Linked DNA regions of Saccharomyces cerevisiae S288C. The protein of the gene in region 1 purifies or fractionates together with the protein of each later gene. This does not show direct contact. Each region holds a gene or a part of one and is shown in the gene's direction. Other genes may lie near its edges. The genes, in order: CSI2 and SBE22.

The links.
Region 2: the proteins of CSI2 (region 1) and SBE22 purify together in Saccharomyces cerevisiae (affinity purification with mass spectrometry, with the first as the bait; one large-scale study listed by BioGRID). This does not show direct contact.

The regions. Positions count from the first base shown.
Region 1 is NC_001147.6:310,321-314,236, reverse strand, and holds CSI2 (Csi2p), read left to right. Parts: upstream 1-1,869; coding exon 1,870-2,895; downstream 2,896-3,916. Other genes in the region: TOP1 (DNA topoisomerase 1), read left to right, coding at 1-1,159; ubiquinone-binding protein COQ10, read right to left, coding at 3,302-3,916. UniProt on the Saccharomyces cerevisiae protein: Appears to be a structural component of the chitin synthase 3 complex.
Region 2 is NC_001140.6:315,217-325,684, forward strand, and holds SBE22 (Sbe22p), read left to right. Parts: upstream 1-5,197; coding exon 5,198-7,756; downstream 7,757-10,468. Other genes in the region: BIG1 (Big1p), read right to left, coding at 1-555, 643-752; putative serine/threonine protein kinase KIC1, read left to right, coding at 1,356-4,598; GRE3 (trifunctional aldehyde reductase/xylose reductase/glucose 1-dehydrogenase (NADP(+))), read left to right, coding at 8,193-9,176; YPT35 (Ypt35p), read left to right, coding at 9,550-10,194; thioredoxin-disulfide reductase TRR2, read left to right, coding at 10,382-10,468.

The DNA.
Region 1 (3,916 bases):
CTATATCGATGCCATCAGAAGGGATTACACGAGAAATTTGAAAAGCAAAGTTATGCTAGAGCGCCAAAAGGCCGTAGCCATTTATTTGATCGATGTATTCGCTTTAAGAGCCGGTGGTGAAAAATCCGAAGATGAAGCCGATACTGTGGGTTGTTGTTCATTGCGATATGAGCATGTTACTTTGAAACCTCCGAATACTGTTATCTTTGATTTCTTAGGTAAGGATTCTATTAGATTTTATCAAGAGGTAGAAGTTGACAAACAAGTTTTCAAAAATTTGACAATTTTTAAAAGGCCGCCCAAACAGCCAGGACATCAACTGTTTGATCGTCTAGATCCATCTATACTGAACAAATATCTACAAAACTACATGCCGGGATTGACTGCTAAAGTTTTCCGTACATATAATGCTTCCAAAACAATGCAAGATCAACTGGATCTAATTCCAAATAAAGGATCTGTCGCAGAGAAAATATTGAAGTACAACGCAGCAAATAGAACTGTAGCCATCCTATGTAACCATCAAAGGACTGTCACGAAGGGGCATGCACAAACAGTGGAAAAGGCCAATAATAGAATACAAGAGTTGGAATGGCAAAAGATTCGTTGCAAGAGGGCCATTTTACAATTGGATAAGGATCTTTTAAAGAAAGAGCCAAAATATTTCGAAGAAATCGACGATTTGACGAAAGAAGATGAAGCCACCATTCACAAGAGAATTATTGATAGAGAAATTGAAAAATATCAGCGAAAATTTGTTAGGGAGAACGATAAGAGGAAATTTGAAAAGGAAGAATTATTGCCGGAAAGTCAATTGAAGGAATGGTTGGAGAAAGTCGACGAAAAGAAACAAGAATTCGAAAAGGAATTGAAAACCGGTGAAGTGGAACTGAAATCAAGTTGGAATTCAGTCGAAAAAATAAAAGCACAAGTAGAGAAATTAGAACAGCGTATCCAAACTAGTTCCATTCAGTTGAAAGATAAAGAGGAAAACTCCCAGGTTTCACTGGGCACTTCCAAAATCAATTATATAGACCCTAGACTTTCTGTGGTATTTTGCAAAAAGTATGATGTTCCGATTGAAAAGATTTTTACAAAAACCCTAAGAGAAAAATTCAAATGGGCCATAGAATCGGTAGATGAAAATTGGAGGTTTTAACGCAAAGAAACGCAGCATAGGGGAGAAGCAAATACATTCACGCATCAAGTTCGCATTAGGGTTACTAGGAAGATATCTTATACACATATATAGAAATAATTTAAAACTTTTAAAGAGTATACTGCAGTGTAATCATGCCACAGTTACTTTACCCCTCCTATTATTTCTTAGTTACCTGCATATAAGAAACGTATTGTCCGTATCTCTTGATGTTTTGGAAGCAAAAATACTTGGAACCTTTGCAAGAATGCATGCTCAGTGACACGGCTTGAATCCGTCCCTTGTCGCATGTATGCCCTTCGAAATTTTGGCGGTTTTCGCGTTTTCTGCGTGTAAGTGTGGCAGGATCGCGAAAAAAAAGTAATTAGCGTAGACAAGAATTACACGAAAAGTCGTCAACACAGCGCCGTCTGTAAGGAAGAACCGCTCTATTGAAATAGAAGCCACGAAATGCTAAGCTGAATCAAACAAATTCAGATCATAATTTCCTGTTCTAGATGGGGCCTTCCGTTCTATTAAAAGTGTCTGCTGAAAAAGAAAAAGATTTGCATCCATGCTTCCTCCAATATAAGGATGTGAGATACGTAGTACATCTTAGCTTGCTTTATTTTACAAATAACACATCAGCAGAAGGACGCTTTACGGTGAAACAGGAAAGTCTTTAACTATTAATAGGGAAAAGATTGTCAACATAAACTAGTAACGACACAATGAGACTGCCAGAAATCTCCATTTGGAAAGTGATACTACTACTTCATTTGTTTGCTCTACAAGAATTTCAACTTGTCTCCGCTGCAAATTTGCCCTCTTTATCAAGTAGTACAAAGGCAGCAGATAGTTCTAGTAAAGGCAGCTCTTCAGCCAAGACAACCACGTCCTTAGGCAAAAGCTCAGTAACCAGTAAGGATGTTTCGTCAAGTCATAATGTCACTTCAAGCACTAAAATGCCCAAAATCACCACGAGCGCTAGTACAAGCTTATACACCAACTCTAGTTTATGGAGCAACAACAGTGTAATATCAACTTCATCTATTACACCTTCCAGCGTTTATATCCCGGTTACGGACGGAAATAAATTCTTATATCAGGCTCATCATCCTAACGGTACTGTGTTCATTGCATTTGCTGGCTGTTTAGGTGCAATTCTACTATCACTGACGGGTGCATGGATTGCATTGAATATAAAGTCATGGCGAAGTGCTAGAAAGGAAAATAAGCTGAGAAATCTAGAAAATCAATACCAACACGATCCTTTCTACTTCCAAACAAACATTAATGACGACGAAAGTGAAACATCTTCCCATTCTGACGACAGTGACATATCAGAAAAAGTTCTGAAAAATAACTCATCTCGTATGAGTTTGTATACTCTAGGATCCACTTCTGTTTTGAATCTTTTGAACAATAAAACAGATGCCAACGATAACTTCAGATCATCTATGTTTATTTCACCCACCGAAATTCTGCAATCTGATGCCAACAACTCTAATACATGGTCTCAAAGCAATGAGAGTGCTATATATGATTCCTTGTCCAGTACTCCAAGGGAACCTGGTGCTACCCAAATACTGGGAAAGTTTACAGACAGCACTAATCCATTCAATTATACATCATACAATTTAAGTCCCGACTCTGAAGACCGCTCTACTCCAAAATCAAATGTTAGTCAGGGTAAAGTAAAGAAGTACCGTCCTCCCAGTGTTCATCTGGATCAACTGCTCGACGGTAAGGAATAATTGCGTCCCCACCTTTCTACACCTCATTTACACTAAGTGCGACTCGAAAACCTAATACTTCAATTAATGAGAGGATACGTGTAAATTCCTCGCCATCACCATGCGCTGTTTTTAGTACACCATTCTTTTTTCGCATACAGATACAAGCACTAAACTGATCGTACTTTGCCAATGAATAAAATGGTGCATCTGCGTATCAACTTGTTGATTGCGACGGAAGACCAGGAAATTTTGCAGCAAAATATATTTGTTTGTATCCTCCGCCCCTACTGGAGCTTGTTAGAAAGCTTAAATACTATAAACATAACTATACAGAAAAATCTTGTTCTATAGTCTAAAAATTTAACCATGCATACGCTTATCCTGGATGGCATGATCTTTGTTATCTGAAATTATACGGAAGATATCACGGAGAGCCTTCTTTAGAAGAAGGTTTTAGCATTGCTAATCTTACTAAATGGTATGCTCTTTTGGCAAATGCGTTCATCACCAATTCAGTCACAGTTTTCGCAAATATTAGAGAGACACTGTTATATATCCGAGATTTGAATTTAAATCTTAATAGAAGTTCTACCATGGCCGCATTTGGTCTATTTGGGTGAGGCATTATGGTCCATTTCGAAATCAAAAGGTGAAACAAATTATGAGATATTGTTTCTGCAACAACGGTATACGTATGATCAGTATCTTTACAGGTAACATTGCATATAAATTCCTCATCGTATTGTTTGAAACCAACTCGAAGCCCCGCAATGAGAGGCTTGTTATCCACAGGATTTCGTTTATCTACAAACGAATCAACACAATAAGGAATAAATTCCTTATATTGGGCAACTTCTGACACTGCAGCGTAGACTGTGCTTGGAGGGGCGTTTATGGCCTTGCGCAAAACATATCGCTGTTCCCTAATAGTGTGATTGGTACCGCTCAAACCAAAAAAATTTCTTTTAAGAGGATATCTCCCAATTGGCTTGAGCATCGCTTTCCTGAATAATATCAATGTCTGTGAGGGCCTTATTAT
Region 2 (10,468 bases), on another chromosome or scaffold:
GGAAATATTTGGATAGGGATGATCGACTCGTGAGCCAGCGTAGTTCCTGGGTTTAACGAGGTGTAAATGACATTTTGTTCTGGCGACGGAATCTGCGCCAGTATAGTCCTCAAATACTTGTCATAATGGCGGAATGCTTCTTTACGTTCATTAGTGTCCTCTGGTAACTTAGGGTACTCTATTATAATCACTCTTTTTTCGCTATCAATAAAGGGCTGGAAATCTTCTGTATTATTACCTCGTAAGTTCAACACCTGGTCTACGTTACAATACTCCTTTACAAACTCTGCAAGATCATAGTATAAATCTTGAGGCAATAGGTCTACCTTTTCGAACTTAATCGCGGTTGAACTCCGTCTTATATATCTCTGTAACGAAACAAACTCTGTTTCAAATTCCAAGAAGTCCAATTTCCTCAGGCCTGGTTGATTAATAAACACATAAGTGTCAGCATTACATACACCTAAGAATTTCTCAGCCGCTTCAATAAAGGTGTCTCTTGGTAAAGTCACAGCCCTATCATAATCCTCTTGATACTTTAAAATACCGGGAGTTCTATCCAAAAGTACAAATATGTGTATAACATCTAGTTAGTAAGAAAAATGAAAGTTACTAAAGATTAATGTTTCTTGTTCTACATACAGTTTGTAAGAGAAGAATATTGCAGGAACATTGGTCTGGTTTTGCAATTCCTCCGAAGCACAAAAGCTTCCACACATAATAAGCAACAAATATTTCAACACAGTTTGCATCTTGCCTTGCTACTCCTAATTAGTATGCGCCTACGTTTCCTAACTACAAAACAGATAGGTATAACCTGCAACTTAACCTCCGCTGCTGATATTCTTGGCCGTAGTTAAGAGAGGTTTACATTACTACAGAGCTAACCCGTGTTGCATGATATCATCGATATAATTAAAGAATGCACATATGTCAGCGGTACTATCGCATACAATGCTCTATCAGAACTCTAGATAACGTTAGAACATATCCTCCCAGGTTTCGCCACATCTGTGGCCTCGTTACTCTATTCGTTTCACTCTTTCTTATCTATTTACAGCCCATCGAGCAACATTATCATGCCACACGTCGATCTCAGGCCGATCTGACAATCTTTAAAGGCATCAACAAGAGCAGCAGCTTGCCGACGTGGCAAAAGTCAAAGAAGAACAGAGGCAACTCGTCCTACGTGAAGCCACATACAACAAGTTAGGAACTATTAGGCGGAACCGCTTTCTAAGGAGCTTACTACTTTTAACAGTACTACTTTTAACAGTACACAGATAAAGAAACAAAAAGTATAAATTTGGGCGCCATCGACTGGCAAGCAAAACACGTATAGAGAACAGGCAGTAATGACGACGAAGCCACAAAATAGTAAGCAGGGTTTAGCCGAAGGAGAGATGGATGTGAGTTCACTTTTCAAGAGAACGGAAGTTATTGGGCGAGGGAAATTTGGTGTGGTTTATAAGGGCTATAACGTGAAGACTGGACGAGTGTATGCTATCAAAGTCTTAAATTTAGATTCTGATTCTGACGAGGTGGAGGATGTGCAGCGAGAAATTCAGTTTTTGGCCTCCTTGAAACAGATTTCCAATATCACGCGGTATTATGGGTCGTATTTGAAAGACACAAGCCTTTGGATCATAATGGAACACTGCGCTGGTGGTTCACTGCGTTCGTTGTTAAGGCCAGGCAAAATCGATGAAAAGTACATTGGGGTTATTATGAGAGAACTGCTTGTAGCATTAAAATGCATTCATAAAGATAACGTCATTCATCGAGATATCAAAGCAGCAAACGTTCTGATCACTAACGAAGGTAATGTTAAACTATGCGATTTTGGTGTCGCTGCACAAGTAAACCAAACTTCTTTACGACGTCAAACTATGGCTGGGACCCCCTACTGGATGGCTCCAGAAGTGATCATGGAAGGCGTTTATTACGACACTAAAGTAGATATATGGTCTTTAGGTATTACAACGTACGAGATTGCCACCGGAAATCCGCCATACTGCGATGTGGAGGCCCTAAGGGCAATGCAACTAATCATCAAATCGAAACCACCGAGGCTTGAGGACAGATCATACAGTACATCTTTGAAAGAATTTATTGCGCTTTGTCTTGATGAGGATCCAAAGGAGAGATTGTCAGCAGACGATCTTTTAAAATCAAAATTTATCAGGGCCCACAAGGCGACGCCAACGTCCATTTTGAAAGAACTAATATCACGATATCTACTATTTAGGGACAAGAATAAAAACAAATATAAAATAGAGGGCAGTATACCGGAAAATGAGCCATCAAAACCCAGTGAAGCTCCAAAACCATCACAAAATGGCGGGGGTGATGAAGCACAAAAGTCAATAGCATCAAATGATAATGAAATTAAGAGAGTGAACGAAGGCGATGTGGAAATGAAATGGGATTTTGATTCATTGAGTTCGTCGGATTATATTATTGAAAATAATATCAACCTCGATGCTTTGGCTGAGGACAACAACGAGTGGGCTACTGCCCAACATGACCTGTTCAACTATGCATACCCTGACGAAGATTCTTATTACTTTGACCCTACAAGTCATAATACTAGACCCTTTGTTTATCAAGGGACAACGATAGGAAAGGGCTATCCTGGTACAATAGCTCAAAATTCTACTTTGAATGCACCAGTAACAAATAACTATACGAACTCAAAATACCCTTCCAAAATGGTAGCTGGAACTACAAACACCTCTGGAACACATACGGCCGGTCCAATGACATCATCTAAGAGGCTGGAAAGTAAGGCTCCAAAACAATTACTTGAACTTTTTGAAGACAATGAAATTATTACTGCTGAAAATGATGTCAATACAGAAGCTCCTAAAATAAGCAAATCCATTTCATCTCTAAATGCTGGTAATAGTTCACGAGATGATTTCATTCCCTCAATATCCAACGAGGTCAACGGAAATATCAATAATAATAAAATGCGACCACACCTTCCACCTTTATCCAGTGGGAACAATTATTATAGCCAGAGTACACCTGCTTTGCCGCTACTCCAAACAAAATTTAACAAGACGTCAAAGGGCCCTCCAACAAGTGGATTAACTACTGCTCCAACGTCTATTGAAATAGAAATTCCTGAAGAACTACCGAATAGTGCTCTACCAACGCCTGCGAGCGCAGATCCGGTTTTAATACCAAGCACAAAGGCCAGGTCATCTACAGTGACGGCTGGCACTCCTTCGTCATCTAGCTCAATACAATATAAATCACCTTCAAACGTGCCCAGGCGGTTGACAGTCAGTAACAATAGGCCAGAACATTGCCCAAGCACCATAACAAATCAAAAATTGGGGTCCGCAGTTGCTTCTAATTCCGGAATCAGCTCCACTCCGAACAACAGTAATAACTATAACAACAACACTGATAGTGAGAACTCAAGAGGAAGCAGCGGTAGTAACACTGCAAATAGCACACAAATGGGCATAACCAATCCAGGTAATGTAACAAAGTTATCTACTCATAAGGCTTCTTCACCCTCAAGGCCACTATTTGGAGTTGGAACTTCTCCCAATAGAAAGCCTGCCGGTTCCCCAACCCAAAACATTGGTCATAATTCTACTCACACGAACCTCGCGCCTCCTCCTACGATGAAACCAATGGCCAATAGCAAAGATAACAAGGACATTCTCTTGCAACCTCTGAACAGCATACCTAGTTCTTCTACACTTAACACTATTAGTGGTAATAGCAGCAATAATTTAACCTCATCAAACTACTTTTCCAACGAAAAGGAAGGCTCAAGGGTCAATGGTGACTTTAAACGCAACAACCCAAACTTAAAACTACAAATGCCACTACCTACACCTGTTGTGAGAAATAAACTTCTTGATCCAAATACAGCAACCTCACAGAATAACAATGGCATGCCGGGGAGCGCTGGCATATCCACGAACGAAAATATTAATCAATTTGGATTTAACACAAGCAGTGCGTCCAACATCCCTGTCTCAATGACTCCAATTAGTGAGAAACACATTGATTTTGGGGGCAAGATCAAGAGAAGTCAAAGCATTTCTAACAGGAAGAACTCTTCTGCCTCGGAACACCCATTGAATATTCTTGGCTCATCTGTTTCCGGCAATGTTTCCGGTATCGGTAACAACAATGTTGGCTCTAACAACAACAGCGGCCCTAATAACAGTGTTCCTCTTTCTGCTAATACAGGAAACACTACTATCAAAGCCAATTCTACGACTATCGCAACTTCAAGTTCTGCCGCGGCATCAACGACTGCACCAATTTCACAACAGACTATTCCATCCGGAACACAATTCAATCATATTCTGAGTTCCGCCGCAACAGCTGCAAACTCGGTTAATTCTTTAGGCTTTGGCATGTGTCCTCCTCCACAGAGTTTACAAATGGAAATGTTCTTGGACTTAGAATCGTTTCTGCCAGGAAAACAGAGGCGGGTAGACAGGAAACCCCAGGTTCTGAAAGAACTGGAAAATCTTTTACAAATGTTCGAAGAAGGTTTGCCCTGCATTGAACACGCTTTAAAGGAACAACTTATTTCAACGCCTATCAAGGATAATGAGCATTAAAAGCATCGTCTAGTTTATTCTTTTGTTTATGTACATATTCAAGAAAAATAAGCAAGATGTAAGAAAAGTGAAAGTATATATTTTCTACAGAACTTAACAAGTCCCTTTAAGCACCACATGGAACTCGACTGCGCAAGGTTAGCGCTTTACGGACTTTATTGCTATTCTAGTTCAAAGAAAGCAAATGGCGCAGTTACCAAACCTCGCCATTTGTTTTTTCCGTTATTTTTTCTTCTTATAAACGCGCCTAGAAGAAAAAACCGTGCGAAGCGCAAATCCTGAGAAAGCGCTAAGGAGGTTTCAACCAATGTTTACCACTTGAAATTTTAGCATTCTCATCACTGTAAGAGAGATAATTATCCTGTAAACATTCCAAAATACCTTTTGTAACGCTGATTGTTGTATTTGTTACCCCAGAATTGCCATATATAGTGGAGAAGAAATCGAAAAGGTCATATACAGCAGAACCAAAAAAAATAATACATTCGTTGATCCTTTACCGTTTTCAAGAGTGAAACGTGATCGTGTTTATACTTTTTCGACTCAAATTTGTCCTTATCTTTAGTTAATACGGTCTAACTTGCCACGCTACTCAAGAAATGACCTCGATTCAGGAGCGAGGCACAAGCGCTCATCTGCATTCGCTTAAAGAAGGTGAGGCTAGTGATCGTTCCAGCGAGATGCTTCCTAAACAAAGAAGTATCATAGGATCCCACGTGCAACGTCCACCGTCTCAAACAACTTTAGGAAGGTCAAGGGCTGGAAGCAATACAATGAATAAAGTTTCAGGCTTAGATATTGCTCGAAGACCAAGTGAGAATTTATTATCAAACATGAACTGTAGCGACAACGGCAATGGGGGAAATATGCTAAATTCATTCGTTAACTCGGCTTTACCACCGCCAAAAGTCAACCCTGCTCAAACAAGACGTGAACGTCCCGCTTCAAATAGCTCAATAGGTACCAAGACTACCGAGGTATTTTCATCCACTTCTGCATCTTCCTCCTTGGGAGATACCAGCGATGAGGGAGAAGGCAGTGATGCCGACAAATCTAAAATAAATACTTTTCCCAGCATATTGATGGAAAAGGCTACTCAAGGTAGAGGCGCTGATGGAAATGGAATGAGAAGCGCAAGCAATAATACCATTGTGGAAGCAACTACGGACGGTTCCAAAATGGCACTGCAAAAAAGCATGTCGTTTGATGATACAGCCGCAGAGAAAACTATGAATAAATCTAGACATTCTTACCAAGAACAGTTCTCCTCGAAGAAAAGCCAGTCATCTTTACTGAACAGCAAGCAAAGATCACGTGCTAAATCGCAAACATGCTCGTCTACGGGTTATAACAACAGCAGCATTCTGAAAACGTTTGGCATAAGCTCCAAAATTTCTAATTCAAGTGATCGGATAGAGGCTTCGTCATTAGAATTTAACGTTCCATCTCAGAAACCTTTGAATTGCAAGCCATTAACTCCGTCTCAGAAATACAGACTTCGTAAAGAGCAATCGGAGATGAATTTAAGAAATACAATCAAAAGAAAAGAGAAATTTTATGATAGTCAAGAACAAATTCTTGAGTTACAAGAGGGAGACGTTGATGATTCGTTGATTTGGAACGTTCCTATGGCATCATTATCTACTAATTCATTTCTAGCGTCTGCTAAGCCCGATGATATGAATAACTTGGCTGGCAAGAATGACTTATCAGAATATACCGGAGGTTTGGTAAATGATAACTCTGAAATTTCTTATACAAAACAAAATCATAGGTACTCGAACATCTCTTTTGCGAGTACAACATCAAACGCCTCATTATTGGACTTTAATGAGATGCCTACGTCTCCGATTCCAGGTTTGAACAAAGTAACTGATTTTCAGTTCATTCAAGACACAACCAAGAGTCTAGCCTCTGTTTATTTGCATTCTTCCAATAGGCTTTCAAGATCTAAGCTGTCCGAAAGAACAAAGTCTTCCGATTTCTTGCCAATTGAACTAAAAGAAGCTCAAAATCAAGGCATGGAAGATTTGATACTTGTCTCGGAGAACAAACTAGATGTGGTCAGCCATTCAAGACCGAGTTGGTTACCACCCAAGGATCGCCAGGAAAAAAAGCTTCATGAAAGGCAAATTAACAAAAGCATGAGTGTTGCTTCCCTTGACCAACTAGGAAAAAATAAAGACAGAGAAGAAAAGTTGATTAGAGATGAAACAAATAGGCAAAAATATGTGTTATTATTGGACAGAGATATAACTAGAAACTCCTCCTTACAAAGCCTAAGTAAAATGGTTTGGGACACTCCATTTAGTGACGAAACTAGGTCAACAATTTACAGCGAAATTTTACAGAGCAAGACTAGGTTTATTACCAAAAACTATATTCAACCATTTCATGAGCTACAGGAGCTTTTAACAAAAATGGGAGACTTTCCTAAAAACAAGGAAATTGAAATATCGCAGCTAATCGAAACAAGTTTGAGGCGAAAAGTGAGCGGTTTACATGATATATGTCCTGATTTGATGCTTTTATTGAAGATAAAATCTATCTCATCACAGGGTATAGTCACCGGTGATGAACTCCTTTTCCATCATTTCTTGGTGAGTGAATCATTTCAGAACCTGGGGCTAAACGAGATTTGGAATATTGTTAATTTAGTACAAATGACGTGTTTTAATGATCTTTGTAAAGAAAAGTTCGATGCAAAGGTTTTAGAACGTAAGGGTGTCGTAGCCGGTTATTTATCGCAAAACGAGGAGTTCAAGGATGAATTTAATACGGAGTGTATAAACTCTACCACCTGGTGGAACATCCTAGAACGTATTGATCATAAGCTTTTTATGTGGATCATGGATATTATAGTAGTCAACAATTCCCAGAGCTACAAAAATAGCCCAATCAACGAAGATGAGTTTGTTAACAAGGATTGGGAATATTACCGCTCGAAGAAAGTGGTAATAAACTACAAGATCTTGATTTCATTTGCATTAAATGTATTGTTAAATTACCACTTTGGATTCACTGATTTAAGAAGTCTTTGTAACGTGAATGACCAGAGATTTTGCATTCCAGTATTCATCAATGATGAATTCGTAGACGCAGATACTGTAAATGCCGTGTTCATCAAGAAATGGGCGCATTACTACAAGAAGTTTTGATATTTTTTGTAACTGTAATTTCACTCATGCACAAGAAAAAAAAAACTGGATTAAAAGGGAGCCCAAGGAAAACTCCTCAGCATATATTTAGAAGTCTCCTCAGCATATAGTTGTTTGTTTTCTTTACACATTCACTGTTTAATAAAACTTTTATAATATTTCATTATCGGAACTCTAGATTCTATACTTGTTTCCCAATTGTTGCTGGTAGTAAACGTATACGTCATAAAAGGGAAAAGCCACATGCGGAAGAATTTTATGGAAAAAAAAAAAACCTCGAAGTTACTACTTCTAGGGGGCCTATCAAGTAAATTACTCCTGGTACACTGAAGTATATAAGGGATATAGAAGCAAATAGTTGTCAGTGCAATCCTTCAAGACGATTGGGAAAATACTGTAATATAAATCGTAAAGGAAAATTGGAAATTTTTTAAAGATGTCTTCACTGGTTACTCTTAATAACGGTCTGAAAATGCCCCTAGTCGGCTTAGGGTGCTGGAAAATTGACAAAAAAGTCTGTGCGAATCAAATTTATGAAGCTATCAAATTAGGCTACCGTTTATTCGATGGTGCTTGCGACTACGGCAACGAAAAGGAAGTTGGTGAAGGTATCAGGAAAGCCATCTCCGAAGGTCTTGTTTCTAGAAAGGATATATTTGTTGTTTCAAAGTTATGGAACAATTTTCACCATCCTGATCATGTAAAATTAGCTTTAAAGAAGACCTTAAGCGATATGGGACTTGATTATTTAGACCTGTATTATATTCACTTCCCAATCGCCTTCAAATATGTTCCATTTGAAGAGAAATACCCTCCAGGATTCTATACGGGCGCAGATGACGAGAAGAAAGGTCACATCACCGAAGCACATGTACCAATCATAGATACGTACCGGGCTCTGGAAGAATGTGTTGATGAAGGCTTGATTAAGTCTATTGGTGTTTCCAACTTTCAGGGAAGCTTGATTCAAGATTTATTACGTGGTTGTAGAATCAAGCCCGTGGCTTTGCAAATTGAACACCATCCTTATTTGACTCAAGAACACCTAGTTGAGTTTTGTAAATTACACGATATCCAAGTAGTTGCTTACTCCTCCTTCGGTCCTCAATCATTCATTGAGATGGACTTACAGTTGGCAAAAACCACGCCAACTCTGTTCGAGAATGATGTAATCAAGAAGGTCTCACAAAACCATCCAGGCAGTACCACTTCCCAAGTATTGCTTAGATGGGCAACTCAGAGAGGCATTGCCGTCATTCCAAAATCTTCCAAGAAGGAAAGGTTACTTGGCAACCTAGAAATCGAAAAAAAGTTCACTTTAACGGAGCAAGAATTGAAGGATATTTCTGCACTAAATGCCAACATCAGATTTAATGATCCATGGACCTGGTTGGATGGTAAATTCCCCACTTTTGCCTGATCCAGCCAGTAAAATCCATACTCAACGACGATATGAACAAATTTCCCTCATTCCGATGCTGTATATGTGTATAAATTTTTACATGCTCTTCTGTTTAGACACAGAACAGCTTTAAATAAAATGTTGGATATACTTTTTCTGCCTGTGGTGTCATCCACGCTTTTAATTCATCTCTTGTATGGTTGACAATTTGGCTATTTTTTAACAGAACCCAACGGTAATTGAAATTAAAAGGGAAACGAGTGGGGGCGATGAGTGAGTGATACTAAAATAGACACCAAGAGAGCAAAGCGGTCCCAAAATCATTTGAGTAACCGGATATCTATCGGGATATTAATAGCAGCTTCCATTTCAACTAAAACAACAGCAAGATATGAGCGACAAGATATCCTTTCTACCTCCCGAACCCATCCAACTACTTGACGAAGACTCCACGGAGCCTGAACTCGACATTGACTCACAACAAGAAAATGAGGGACCCATCAGTGCGTCAAACAGCAATGATAGCACTAGCCATAGTAATGATTGCGGTGCCACAATTACCAGAACAAGACCTAGACGAAGCAGTTCTATCAATGCAAACTTTAGTTTTCAAAAGGCTCATGTCAGCGATTGCACCATAGTCAATGGCGACCATGGAACAAAGTTTGCTGTCTGGAGAATTACCGTATTTCTTGAACCCAACTTGAAGGCTTTTGCGGCCAAGAGGGAAAGCTATAAAATCCAAACCTATAAACGATACTCCGATTTCGTCAGATTACGAGAGAATTTGCTCACAAGAATCAAGACAGCGAAACCTGAGAAACTTAACTGTTTGCAGATTCCACACCTTCCCCCTTCAGTGCAGTGGTACAGTTCTTGGAAATATCAAGAAGTGAATCTGAACAAGGACTGGCTGGCAAAAAGACAGAGAGGGCTCGAGTACTTCCTCAATCACATCATCCTTAACAGCAGCCTCGTAGAAATGACCAAAGATATACTCATACAGTTTCTAGAGCCTTCAAAACGAGTTGCATAGCTCACCATCCCTATCCAACCGACTATTCTTCTCATCGACTACTACTATCCCATTTAACTCGGGCGCGTTGTTAATTAATCACTCGATGGGGAATGCCTTGAGCTGACCGCAATGAAAACTTTTAGGGGATCGTCCAACATTAAAGGAAGAACGAAACGGACTCCACAGTTTCTAATATAAATAAACAATGATAAAACATATAGTTTCGCCATTCAGGACGAATTTTGTTGGCATCAGCAAGTCCGTGCTGTCAAGGATGATTCATCACAAGGTT